2 linked regions of the Pelodiscus sinensis genome follow. The protein of the gene in region 2 interacts with the protein of the main gene of each other region in a biochemical or structural test. Links are inferred from orthologs where the notes say so. Each region holds a gene or a part of one and is shown on either strand. Other genes may lie near its edges.

Region 1 (7,035 bases), on a different chromosome or scaffold from region 2:
GCTGGATTTCCCCCCCCCCCCCCCCATCTTTAATAAGTTAACCAGTTAAACAATACACTTAACCAATTCAGTGGAATGGTTACATCCCTCCTAGGGCTCTAATAATACTCACCTGCCTCCTAAGGGGATGATGGAATTTAGTGGAGATCTTCAGCGGAGAGGCATTAGAGAAGGAAGTATTGTCCCTTCTGAGAGCTCACGTTACGAAAGACTCGACAGGTTCAGTCCCCTCCAGCCTACCCAGCAGATACTGGTGCTGATGAAATGAACGTTACTAGAATGTGTCAAAATGCTGGAATGTGAGGAGGAGCACTGCCCTTCTAACAGAGGCAGTTATGCCTTGATACTCTGGAGTGCCTGGTTTGTGATACGCTACAGACAGTGGCTAAGCACTACTGACGCATGGGGACAAGTGACAGGCAGAGACAACTTTTTTAAACATAATTTTTCTGGTTGGACACGACTCCCCCTTTCCCCCTCCCCAAGCCGTGGATGTGGGTTGGGGGGCTGTAATCTTTGATACAATCATCATTCAGACACATTTCTGCCTCTCTGATGTTAGGCCAGCTTTACAATGGCATCGAGTCATGTATAAATGTAGATAAATGCCTAGTGGGATTTACAGAAGTGACTAAGGGTGCATCTAGACTGCAGGGCTTAGCTCAATTTGCGCGGCTTATTTCGAGTTATCTCAATTGCATAGCTTATACCGAAACTGGGAGTGTCTCCACAGCACTTATTTCAAAATAAAACACTCTTCCTCCGACTTCCCTTGCTCCTCGTAAAATGAGGGTTACCGGAGTTGGAGTAAAGTCCTCCAGCTTGACAGTATGTCAACATTATTTCAAAGGAAGTGCCTGCTGTGTAGAGGCGGACTAAGTTATTTCGAGATAACGCTACTTCGAAATAACGTCGCTGTGCACACGTACCCTATGTGAATTAGGTGCCTAACCGCCAAAGACTTTCAATGTGAGTTAGACACCTAACTGACTTAACTCCTTTCAACAGTTTATGGCAGGTAGGTGCCTGTCTCAGTGGCACACTTCTTTAAATCCCACCAGGCAACTCTCTGCATCTCAGGTACCTAAAGAACTTGTAAATCTAGCCCCCAGCTGGTCATGCACCTTCTAGGAGGCAGGAGATTTATTTAGGTTTCGTAGCTCCTGGCTACCATTAGGAAAAGGGAACAGTTTTTGTTGCCGTCATTGGCAAGGAGTTTGAGCTGGCTGTTTAGAAGACTCTGAGGTATTGAACTAGTGGTCTGCCCAAGGAGAACCTCCTATTGTCCATAAGTCTCGTTGTGCTGATTTTCTGTCCATTGCTAACACTGAGACTGTTGCCGAACAGGTGGGGAGTTAAAAGAAGACCTGTTGTGGAATAATTCCGACGTGCGCCGAGAGAGAACCTCTGCTCACCCTGCAGAACCCCCCTGCCCACCAGGGCCTGTGTGGACTTCTAGTCTCCTGCATCTGTCGAAGGGCAACAGCCAGCAGGCCCGCTCTGTGTCGGTGTCCGCTATCGCTTCTTCGGAGTCTCTCGCCTCGAGCCATGGACCTTCTAACTATGCAGATAACTTCTTGGAACCGTTAGCGTACCCGAGCCACAGTGGCCACGTGGTATTTAGGACTCCTCACAGCATCACCATCACGCCGCCAACGACACCTCAGTTAAAAACGCGGCACAAATTGAAACCCCCACGGACTCCCCCTCCGCCTAGCCGGAAGGTTTTTCAGCTGCTACCAAACTTTCCAACCCTCACAAGAAGCAAGTCCCACGAATCACAGCTGGGCAACAGAATAGATGAAGTCCCTCCTCTAAAGTAAGCCTGGGATTTTCCAACTTCTTCTTAGTGGAGTGGGAATTGGGGGTGGGGAGGGTTCTTTTACACTCTGGGCTCTTTTTTGGGAGAGGTGTGGGGGGAGGGAGGGCTGCATGCATCGTTCCAGTTCCCATTTCTCAGATTACAAAATAACCAGGAAGTTTTGGAGACCACCTAGACCTGTTGTAAAGTAGAACGTAGCCGTCTGTTTTGATGAAGGCTCGCTGCTGAAACGTATGCTTGGTAGAAACACTCTGCCACTGTTACATGAGGCTAACAGTCTAGTAGGCCCAGTCCATGACACCTTTGTACCACTGTCACTATGGGCAGTGGGTGAAGGCCCAGGTGGGGAAGGCAAGCCCCAGCCCTTCCCTTTTTACCCATGCCACACCCCTTCTCCTGAGACTATGCCCCTTCGCCCCCCAGTCAAGCCTTGCTCAACGCCAGCTGTGGATGGGGGCTGCCGTGCCACGTGGCCCCAGCCCCTCCCAGCCAGCTGGGCAGCGTAGGAAATTCTGGGAAGGCAATGCCTTCCCTTGCTTACATTACCTGCCACCCATGGCCGTCCCATCCACGCTCTCAAATCAAACTGGGTTGGATCACTATGGACTCAGATTTGACAGAGGGTGGTGACTGGTTGTGGTGCTACTCTTCCCTTGGAATCCATGTTGGTGAACTCCCTTTCCCAACATTCATGGGCGTTTGCACTTATGACATTTTTCAGATCACACCTACTCTAGATTTAGATTTAGATAGCTTGCTGTTACTAGGGATACCAGTGGTCTTTTTTTGTGCAAGAGCCCCCTGCCCGATTCCATGTATAGCAACTTGATACACAGTGTAGTTGGCTATTGTGTCTTTCGCTCCTTGTTCTAAGCTGGGTTAAGTATTGCTGAGGCTTTTAAACAGCTGCATCTCTGTGACGGAAGAAATGAGATCTGGATGTAGTTCTGTGTATCCATTTAGGGCTTGCGAGATGCTTTGTAGGTATTTTGGGATGAAAGATGTTCTGTTAATGCAGCATTTGCTTATTTTTGGAAATGAGCATGAGCCAAGCACCCTGGTAAGTCAGAGTAGTCCTGGCTTTTGGGGAAGCTCAGATCAGGAGCCAAAGTTTGCAACTAGCATTAAACCAATGCCACTTAGCTGGCCCTTCTGCCCCTTTGAAGGAGTTGTCCAGCTAGGACCTGGCTTTACTGAAGGCTTGTACAAAGGAGTTGTTTGTTTATGAGCTGCTTTAGTGGTGAGTAAGGCAGTTGCACACCCTTTTATATGAAAGGGAGGGAAGGAAAGTTACCATAGTTAGTTATGGTTACCGATGACTATGGAAGAGTTAAGAACAAAACCACATGTGACAAATACAAATTCTGCTTCGCTTTCAAACCGAAGTGCGAATGAAGCGTGTGCTGGATTAGAGAGGTTCATCCTCTCTACAAACTGATTTCCGCAATGAGGGAGAGGTATTCCCTTGAGTCGAAAAGAGGTGTAGCTGGCTACAGATCTTTTGCTTTAAATCTAGTGGTGAAATCCTGGTCTTACTGAAGTCCGTGATAAAACTGCTGACTTCCGGAGGGCCCAAAGTCTGTTTGGGTGGCCAGGGTAGCACTTCATTGTTGTTGAGATTTTAATGGATCAAAATGGCCCTGCTCATCCTCCACATGAATTTGTATAGCTCCATGTGCTCTCTTTGTTTGGCGTGGAATGTATAAATGATAGAATTTACACCTCAGCAGCAGGGAGGGGGAGGGCTTTCAACAGAGCCTAAGGGATTTAGACTCCCACATGATTTGAATACCTAACTCCCTGAAATTCCTTTGACAATCCCGGTCATTGACTATCCTCCACTTTCACATAGTGTGTGCGTGCGCACGGGGATCTCTGTCCAGTGAATTATATCATTCATGTACACAATAAGGTGTACAAAATATTGCATATGCAAGTGCAAAGATGCCTTTGGGGGGAAAAACAGAGGCCATGTTTTGAAAATAGAGCCTTAAAGGTTGTAATGAGGGCTCTGCACTTAAGAGAGAAGTTTAGCTCATCTGTCACATGATCATTTGTGTTGAAAATTGTTTTGTTTTTTTTTTCTTTTTGTCTTCTAGGCTTGGTAAGAAACAGATTTTTTGGGGGGCAGTCTTCGCATCGTTGCCTGCGGGGAAAAGAATGTCTTATCATTGTGGCACCAGTATGGTCCTGTTTTTATGCTAACTTTTTGGAAGTCCTCCATGTCGAGCAGTTGTTAACGTTGGCAGACATTTCCTAGCATGAGCGCTGCAAGATCAGTCCTCATTTGTTAACACGAATAGAGCAACAAAAAGAAACCTTGATACTGTAGGGATTGGACCTGCATTGAAGGTGGTTTTGTTTAAAATTTCTCCCGTCTTTCCACACTCTTGGTATCAACATATGTTGGTATTTAAAAGCTCTAAGTACACAACCGACCATTCAGCATCAGTACATACCATTACCAGATCCTTCTATGTAGCACAAAGTTTCTTAAATTTCACATAGCCTTGGCTTTAGGGATCATGCAATGCCTGTATCTGCAACATGGGGCTTTGTGAGTAAAATGTAATGGTTGCTTAAGGCTTAGCTGTGCAAGGTGCAGAGTATGCCTGCTCTAACCCAGCAAAACACGGGCTCATGCTTAGCTTTATGCACACAGTCAGTCCCACTGGAGTCAACAGGGCTAGTCAGATGCTTAAAATGAAACATAGGCTGATGTTTTTCAGCATTGGGAGCAGTGAACTCAGCAGCTGTCACAATCAAACTCCTAGCACTTGAACTGTGGTATGCTATGGTGTGACAGCAGTGGTCGGACAATACACGTCTGCCATGCACCACTGCCTTCATCATAAAGCTAAAACAGAAAACCCCTTGTCCTTTAAAATGTGTTAGCTTTACTGTAAAAAATAAAACTAAGACTTTCATGTGCACTATATGGGTGGGTAGGTATTTATAAAGCATAACTGCTTTAAAAGAGAACCCTAGAAGTTACTTTCCCAAAAATAAATGGTTGCTAGTTCATAGCGGCTTCAGCTCGTGCCCAGATTGCTTTTCTTGGCGCAGCCTGGCCCTAGGTCTTCAGATGCTACAGGCAGGTGACATTGGTCAGTGGCCCCTTCCTAAGGGACATAGCTGCAAAAGGTAGGTGTTTGCAGAACCGGGGAGGACAGAGGGAGGGAATTTTCATTCACCGTCCCGTAGGTGTTTCCCAGGAAATCCACTTCACATGCGTTGTCCCAAAAGTCCATTCATATCCGCTGCACTGTTCGGTATAGATCTTTCATCGACCAGGCCACAATTATTTAATCTGATGATGCCAAAGATACCGACGCTGAATTTAAGGAGGCGTTTCAGGGATCTGGCAGGAACTAATTGCCATATCAATCACACAAGCTGCTTTTTCTAAAATCATGGCTATCCATCAAGCACGGTCTGTAAAATTGGACAACATAGGTACTGTAGGGTCCATCTAAGCAGCCCGCAGCAGCAAGCCTCCCAGCCCAGATCAGTAGACCACAGCTAGTGGGGCTAATGCTCTACAACTAGCTGTGCACACAGGGCTCTGGCACTGTGGCTAGGGCTGCAGTTTGGGCTGTTTTTTAAGCACTAGTGCATGTTCCGCAGCCCCAGTCTCTGGACCCAGGCTGGGAGACTTGCTGCCAGCTGGGTAGAGAGAGGGTGGAACATTTCTGTGATGTATCAATAAAGGATCTGCTGCCATCTAGGGACAGAATGGGAAATGGGTGTTCAGAAGTATTGGCACGATGCATCGGGAGCTGTGCATTCGGTGTGAGGCCCATCTGTGGGGTACTGAAATATCAGCATCCTGGAAAAGCTGGCAGAATAGAAATAAAACTCTAGTGGAAGCAGCATTGCCTACTAGGTAGAGCACTGGACTGGGACTTGTGAAACAAAGCCTGGTTTCCCTGGCTCTGCCACTGGCCAGCTGAATGACCTTGGGCAAGGCACTTCGCCTCTCTGTGGTCAGTGCCCTAACTGCAAGATGGGGATAATGATTCTGATCTCCTCTGTAAAGTCCTTAGTGATGGACTGGTGCAAAGCCTACCTAAGAGCTGGGCGGTAATAGTCATAACCAAGCATTATTTGGTGGTCCCCTTCCAGATCAAGGCTGCCCTCCTAAGCAGGCATTTGAAGCTGGTTTAAAATTGGGACTCCCCTGCCCCGCCCCCGAAACCCTGTTTTTGTTCCTTTTGTTTTCTTAATAACATTTTCTTGCTACTATAGGGCTAGACTTGTGTAACCTTTATTGCTGCTGGAGACATAATAAGACTACTTGTGTGAGTGAGTCGGTGCTCCTCAGAGCAAGTAAGCATTGCCCAGACCTACCCCATAGTACTCAACGGGACAGGATGTATTTCAGCCTTGTGTTTGATTTGCCTTAAAATGCTAGCAAGCTGATGGGAAATGCGAACCATCCACCAAGCCGTGCAAATATTTATTAGCATGTCTGATGGGGCCTCCTTTAAGGGGTGCTGCATTTGTAAGATGGGTGGACTTTCCCCATCTCTAGTCGTGATCTTGTAATAATAATTTGTTTTCCCCTACTAATAAGTTCTATAAATCTGCACACTCCTACTAAATGTAGAGCAGGAAACCATTTACAGCTTATATTGGTTCCACACACGATGAAAAGAGCAGCTTCTGGGCAATGTTCCTGCTCATCTTTTTCAATCCACGCACGGATGTGTTTTTTTTTATCCGTGTGCAGAATAAATGTATGTGCACTGAAGCGTGTGTGAATGTGCACTACCAACAGAAACAAAACCTCACTTTGGGTGCTCTGCTGATCAGCTAGGTGGCATTGGAATCTCCTGAGTGGCCTCATGGTTACCCAGCTGACAGGGAACATTGATCCTGGGGCATGTGAGCTATTGCCATGATTTGAAACACTAAGGCCTAAGGGCAAGCGACTTAGTTTCTCAGTTCCCATTGAACTCAATAGCTGCTGGGGGCCTGACGAGGGGGGGGAGGAGGTGCATTACTGATCTCTTGTGCAAACACAGGTGTAGTTGGGCTCTCTTGGTGGCATTTGCTGCTCATTGTTCCCTTAGAAATGAGATTTTCATGTGCAAATTTCCCTTTAGATTTCTGAAATGCTCACAAGTTAAGGGCGGTTTGGTTTTTTTTGTGGCTAACATGTAATTTGTTCTCCCCACATCAGATCTCCCCCAGGCATCCCCTCAGGCAGG
Region 2 (6,980 bases):
GGGGTGCAGGGCCATGCTGCCAGCGCCGTGGGGGTGCAGAGTGGCGCTATCTGTGCCAATGCCATAGAGGAGGAGCAGGGCCATGCTGCCAGCGCCGTGGGGGTGCAGAGCGGCGCTATCTGTGCCAATGCCATAGGGGAAGAGCAGGGCCATGCTGCCAGCGCCGTGGGGGTGCAGGGCGGCGCTATCTGTGCCAATGCCATAGAGGAGGTGCAGGGCCATGCTGCCAGCGCCGTGGGGGTGCAGGGCGGCGCTACCTGTGCCAATGCCATAGAGGGGTGCAGAGCCATGCTGCCAGCGCCGTGGGGGTGCAGGGCGGCGCTATCTGTGCCAATGCCATAGAGGAGGTGCAGGGCCATGCTGCCAGCGCTGTGGGGGTGCAGAGCGGCACTATCTGTGCCAATGCCATAGAGGGGTGCAGGGCCATGCTGCCAGCGCCGTGGGGGTGCAGAGCGGCGCTATCTGTGCCAATGCCATAGAGGAGGAACAGGGCCATGCTGCCAGCGCCGTGGGGGTGCAGAGCGGCACTATCTGTGCCAATGCCATAGAGGAGGAGCAGGGCCATGCTGCCAGCGCCGTGGGGGTGCAGAGCGGCGCTATCTGTGCCAATGCCATAGAGGAAGAGCAGGGCCATGCTGCCAGCGCCGTGAGGGTGCAAGGCGGCACTATCTGTGCCAATGCCATAGAGGGGTGCAGGGCCATGTTGCCAGCGCCGTGGGGGTGCAGAGCGGTGCTATCTGTGCCAATGCCATAGAGGAAGAGCAGGGCCATGCTGCCAGCGCCGTGCGGGTGCAGGGCGGCACTATCTGTGCCAATGCCATAGAGGAGGAGCAGGGCCATGCTGCCAGCGCCGTGAGGGTGCAGGGCGGCACTATCTGTGCCAATGCCATAGAGGGGTGCAGGGCCATGCTGCCAGCGCCGTGGGGGTGCAGAGCGGTGCTATCTGTGCCAATGCCATAGAGGAAGAGCAGGGCCATGCTGCCAGCGCCGTGCGGGTGCAGGGCGGCACTATCTGTGCCAATGCCATAGAGGAGGAGCAGGGCCATGCTGCCAGCGCCGTGGGGGTGCAGGGCGGCGCTATCTCTGCCAATGCCATAGAGGAGGAGCAGGGCCATGCTGCCAGCGCCGTGGGGATGCAGGGCAGTGCTATCTGTGCCAATGCCATAGAGGGGGTGCAGGGCCATGCTGCCAGTGCCGTGGGGGTGCAGGGCGGCGCTATCCGTGCCAATGCCATAGAGGAGGTGCAGGGCCATGCTGCCAGCGCCGTGGGGGTGCAGAGCGGCGCTATCTGTGCCAATGCCATAGAGGGGTGCAGGGCCATGCTGCCAGCGCCATGGGGGTGCAGGCGGTGCTATCTGTGCTAATGCCATAGAGGGGTGCAGGGCCATGCTGCCATCGCCGTGGGGGTGCAGGGCGGTGCTATCTGTGCCAATGTCATAGAGGGGTGCAGGGCCATGCTGCCAGCGCCGTGGGGGTGCAGGGCGGCGCTATCTGTGCCAATGCCCAGCAGGGCCCAAAAGCAAACAATTCCGCTGTGTAGGAAAGATAGAAAATATGGCAAAAGACCAGCTTGGCTTAACAAGGAGATCTTGCATGATCTCAAAATAAAAAAGGAGTCATATAAAAAATGGAAACTAGGACAACTAACAAAGGATGAATATAGGCAAGCAACACGGGAATGCAGGGGCAAGATTAGAAAGGCAAAGGCACAAAATGAGATCAAACTAGCTACAGGCATAAAGGGAAACAAGAAGACCTTTTATAAATACATTAAAAGCAAGAGGAAGACCAAGGACAGGGTAGGCCCACTGCTTAGTGAGGAGGGAGAAGCAGTAACAGGAAACTTGGAAATGGCGAAGATGCTCAATGACTTCTTTGTTTCGGTCTTCACCGAGAAGTCTGGAGGTGTGCCTAACGTAGTGAATACAAGCAGAGAGAGGGTAAGTTTAGAAGATAGGATACACAGAGAACAAGTTAAAAATCACTTAGGAAAGTTAGATGTCAGCAAGTCACCAGGTCCTGATGAAATGCATCCCAGGATACTCAAGGAGCTGATAGAGGAGGTATCTGAGCCTTTAGCTATGATCTTTGAAAAATCATGGCAGACAGGGGAGATTCCAGAAGACTGGAAAAGGGCAAATATTGTGCCCATCTATAAAAAGGGGAATAAGAACAATCCAGGAAACTACAGACTGGTCAGTTTAACGTCTGTCCCAGGGAAGATAATGGAGCAGGTAATTAAGGAAATCATATGCAAACACTTGAAAGGTAATAAAGTGATAGGGAATAGCCAGCATGGGTTTATGAAGAACAAGTCATGCCAAACTAATCTGATAGCTTTCTTTGATAAGATAACGAGCCTTGTGGATAAGGGAGAAGCGGTGGATGTCATATACCTAGACTTTAGTAAGGCATTTGATACGGTCTCGCATGATATTCTTATTGATAAACTAGGCAAATATAACTTAGATAGGGCCACGATAAGGTGGGTGCATAATTGGCTGGATAACCGTAGTCAGAGAGTTGTTGTTAACGGTTCTAAATCCTGCTGGAAAGGGATAGCAAGTGGAGTTCCTCAAGGGTCTGTTTTGGGACCCGTACTGTTCAATATCTTCATCAATGATGTAGATATTGGGATAGAGAGTACGCTTATTAAGTTTGCAGATGATACCAAACTGGGTGGGGTTGCAACTTCTTTGGAGGATAGGGACATAATTCAAAATGACCTTAGCAAGTTAGAGAAATGGTCAGAGGTAAACAGGATGAGGTTTAATAAAGAGAAATGCAAAGTGCTCCACTTAGGAAGGAACAATCAGTTCCATACATACAAGATGGGAAGCGACTGTCTAGGAAGGAGCATGGCGGAAAGGGATCTAGGGGTCATAGTGGACCACAAGTTGAATATGAGTCAACAGTGTGATGCTGTTGCAAAAAAAGCAAATATGATTTTAGGTTGTATCAACAGGTGTGTTGTAAGCAAAACTCGTGAAGTCATTCTGCCGCTCTACTCTGCACTAGTTAGGCCTCAGCTGGAGTACTGTGTCCAGTTCTGGGCGCTACATTTCAAGAAAGATGTGGAGAAATTGGAAAGGGTACAGAGAAGAGCGACAAGAATGATTAAAGGTTTAGAGAACATGACCTATGAAGCCAGGCTTCATGAACTGGGCTTGTTTAGTTTGGAAAAAAGAAGATTAAGGGGGGATATGATAGCGGTTTTCAAATATCTAAAAGGGAGGAGAGAAGGAGAAAGGAGAAAATGTGTTCTTCTTGGTTTCTGAGGACAGGAAAAGGAGTAATGGGCTTAAAGTGCAGCAGGGGAGGTTTAGATTGGACATTAGGAAAAAATTCCTAACTGTCAGGGTGGTCAAATATTGGAATAAATTGCCAAGGGAGGTGGTGGAATCTCCCTCTCTGGAGATATTTAAGAACAGGTTAGATAGACATCTGTCAGGGATGGTGTAGACGGAGCGTGGTCCTGCCTTGAGGGCGGGGGGCTGGACTCGATGACCTCTTGAGGTCCCTTCCAGTCCTATTATTCTATGATTCTATGCTGCCAGCGCCGTGGGGGTGCAGAGTGGCGCTATCTGTGCCAATGCCATAGAGGGGTGCAGGGCCATGCTGCCAGCGCCGTGGGGGTGCAGAGCGGCGCTATCTGTGCCCATGACATAGAGGGGGAGCAGGGCCATGCTGCAGTGCCATGGGGGGGGAGGGTGCAGGGCGGCGCTGTCTGTGCCAATGCTACATGTAGCGGCGCAAGGCGGTGGCAATGCCGCGTGAGGAGAGCAGGGCGGTGCTACTGGTGCCAGCTCCAGGCCCGGAGCCTTGGCGGGCCCGCAGGGCAGCTGCCTGGTGCCGGTGCCACAGCTACGCCGGGGCGCTCAGTCCCCTCCCCTAGCAACAAGCAGTCGGCGCCGGCCGGCTGCCCAGCCCAGCACCGGGGCAGGGGGCGGGCTCTTCCGGTTCAAGTCGGAGCGAAGGAAGCCGGGCGGCCATCTTGGATCCTCCGTCCCGGAGCGGGCGGCGTTGAGGCAGCGGCGGAGTGGGGGCGGGGGCTGCCGGAGCCGGCCGCGGGGCTGCTGACACCCGGCTCGGAAGGCGCAGGGGAGCCCGGGCCAGCCGGGCGGCGGCGGCGGGTGGGAGAGGCCCAGCATGGCGGCGAAGGCTCGGTGAAGCGGGGCTGGGGAGGGGGGGGAGAGGCGAGGAGAAGGGAGAGGGAAGCGCTTCGGAGCGGGCCCGCCTGGCTGCCAGGGCTCGGAGCTGGCTGCGGAGAGGCGGCTTGTTTTCCTGGCCGGGTTCTGCGGCGCCCCGTTGCCTCCTCCGGGCTGTTTCCTCGCCTCCCCTCCCCCCCGACCGCTGCGCTCTACGGGGATTCCCCCCCCGCCACCCTCACCCGTCCGCTTCTGCGAGCCGGGCTCCTGAGCTGGCTGTAGGATGAGCGCCGAGGACTCCCAGGGGGAGACGCTGCTCCTTCGCCAGGCTGGAATATAGCTCAGAAGTGGGGGGGTGGCCGTGGAAATAAGCAGCCCCCCACCCCGTCCCTTGATGGTGGCCCTTCGTAACCACTGTCTTGCAGCTGATTGACAGAGCTTTTTTGGGGGTGGGTGGGTTAGGTTTTTGTTGGGGGGGAGGGGTGTTTTATTTTGCTGTCGCAAGTAGCCGGTGCTCCAGCACGAGCGAATTAAAATGTCCACGAGAACTCCATTGCCTACGGTGAATGAACGCGACACTGAGAATGTAAGTAACCCGCGTGGTGTGTATTGGGGGAGTGGGCGCTGGGGTGGCCAGACCTGCCTGTCACCTATGGAACGTGTGTGCTGTAATGCTTTGGTGGCCGCGTCGCTCGTGTGCTTGAGTGTGACTGCTGTACACAAAGGATGGCATGCATAGAGAGGGGTGGGCGTATGGTGTACAGAGACAAAAATGTCTCCCAAGAAAAACTGCCAGAGAAAAATGTGCATTTGTTTTTAGCAGACATTGGCGCTCTCTTTGCGAACGTAAACCATAGGTATAATTTGAATGAAACATACTGTACTGAATCAAACTATGTAATTTAAAATCCCCAAAGTGGAGCTTGGCATTGTGGGTATGTATTATGTTCCTGCCGTTGTGACACGGGTTCGAGGCACTGTTCTGGCAGCTGGGTTTTGTTAAACAGATGTTTCACAGGTGTGTGAAGAGTAGTGTAGCTATGAGAGCTATCATTGAGGTTCTAGGCCTGCTTATTAAATTACTTAGATTACGGTTTAACTAAGTGTATCTTAAGAGCTTGGTTTGCCAATAGTAATGCTGAAAGTAATCTAAAACACTGCAGTGTTTTAATGGTGTATCTTTACCGTGCAAATGCAGTACTACCTCATATTCGTGTTGCTGAATTTGGGAATAGTAATCCATATACCTTTATATTTTAACACCATACTGCTTATAAACATCAATTAATTGCTAAAACAAGCAGATAAAGCAGTTGGTAAACAGAGAACAATTCTGTGCTGGCCGGAGAGGACTAGGTGACCTAGATTATATATCTTTCCATCTCTAGTTTGAATGATTATTAACAGTTAGTATAATAGCTTTATTTTCACTTGTTCAGATGGTATTGAAAGATTCTCTTTTCTGAAATCTGCAAAGTCAGAAAGTCCTCCCTTGATTAAAGGGTAGCATTTGACAATGAATGTTAAACATGTAAATAAAACTGCATGTTTTAGTAGTTTAACTTAAACAGTTATATTGTTAGCTTTTTATTTGAAGTATTTAATATGCAAATCAACTGTATGCAGAAACATAATATAACCAAACCCCAAACTTAGATAAACCCTCTCTAAGTAAGAACCTTATTTTTACCTCAAAGTAATCATGTGTAAAAGGACAAATTTTAGGAAAAAATGGTCTTTGTATGTGAAAAGGTGTGCAGATGAGTTGTCTGTTTATTCAGCTCTGAATCACAAATAAGCAAAATCAGTGAGCATTATTAGTTTCTTTCATTATAGATATAACCAGATATCTATTAGAAACCATTCCTGGGTCTGAGTGAAAGTGATTGGTGAGAGACACCTGTTTTGTGTTGAAATAAATAAAAGGAAAATTTAGGCTGAATATTAAGAAAACTTCCAAGTTAGAGCACGAACAAGGGAAATTGGTGGAAACCCTGTTAGTGAAGACATTTTAAAACAAGACCAGACAAAGGATTAAAAAACGTGCTGCATAGAACAGTCACTGAATTGGCAGGGATTTGGATTTTATGTTAATAGTCATCTCTCACTTCTATGATCTTGATTTGCTTTAGCCCTTGATACAACCTGCGGGCTGACGGCTGTATTGAACAAAAAGTTAACTAAGCATATTTTGTTGCAGAATGTCATTCATCTTCAGCCTAATGGCCAAAGCTGCATGGTGGAAGAAAATAATTAAAAATGAAAATTTTAGTGGCCTTTTGTATTTATCTGAACTTCCAAAGTGCTTAAACCGGTGATGGGCAGTCTGTGGGTCACAGGCAACTCACTCAAGTTCCACCTGAGGCCCATGCACTCCTTGTCTACCATCCATGCCCCTTTCGCACACTGGAGTCCCACACTTCCTACTCCTCCCCTTCCCTCCCAGTACATTTGGATTGCCATTAGTTCACTGATGTTCCTTCCCCTCCCTCCCAGAGCATGAACAGCCAGAAATAGCTGATTTGCAGCATTTGAGTTCTCTGTGTGTGGGGAGGATGGAGCACTCAGAGTGCTAGGAGAGAGGAGGGAAGAGTAGGAAGTGCAGGACTCCAATGCCTCAGTGTGCAAGAGGCATGGGAGAAGGGGACAGAAAGGGGTGTTTGAGCCGCAGGTGGAACTCCAGTAGACCATGGGCCGCAGGTTGTGCACCACTGCAGCTCAGTGAGATCGAGGGCCTCTCATGCAACCCAATCACTAGTGTTGGTTGCACAACACAGGTCTAAACAGATCCCTCTGTAATGTTTTGGCCAGTCAATGTGTTTCTGCCTGGCT

Evidence for each region. The genes of interacting proteins can lie anywhere in the genome.
Region 1: of the proteins of MARK3 (region 2) and KSR1, one has a biochemical effect on the other in vitro, tested with the Homo sapiens proteins (2 studies listed by BioGRID). The link is inferred for Pelodiscus sinensis from reciprocal best matches to the Homo sapiens genes MARK3 and KSR1.

What each region holds. Positions count from the first base shown.
Region 1 is NC_134731.1:10,839,951-10,846,985, forward strand, and holds the start of KSR1 (kinase suppressor of Ras 1), read left to right. Parts: upstream 1-4,024; 5' UTR 4,025-6,151; exon of another isoform or gene 6,152-7,007; 5' UTR 7,008-7,035.
Region 2 is NC_134714.1:20,612,568-20,619,547, reverse strand, and holds the start of MARK3 (MAP/microtubule affinity-regulating kinase 3), read left to right. Parts: upstream 1-3,964; 5' UTR 3,965-4,683; coding exon 4,684-4,734; intron 4,735-6,980. UniProt on the Homo sapiens protein: Serine/threonine-protein kinase. Involved in the specific phosphorylation of microtubule-associated proteins for MAP2 and MAP4. Phosphorylates the microtubule-associated protein MAPT/TAU. Phosphorylates CDC25C on 'Ser-216'.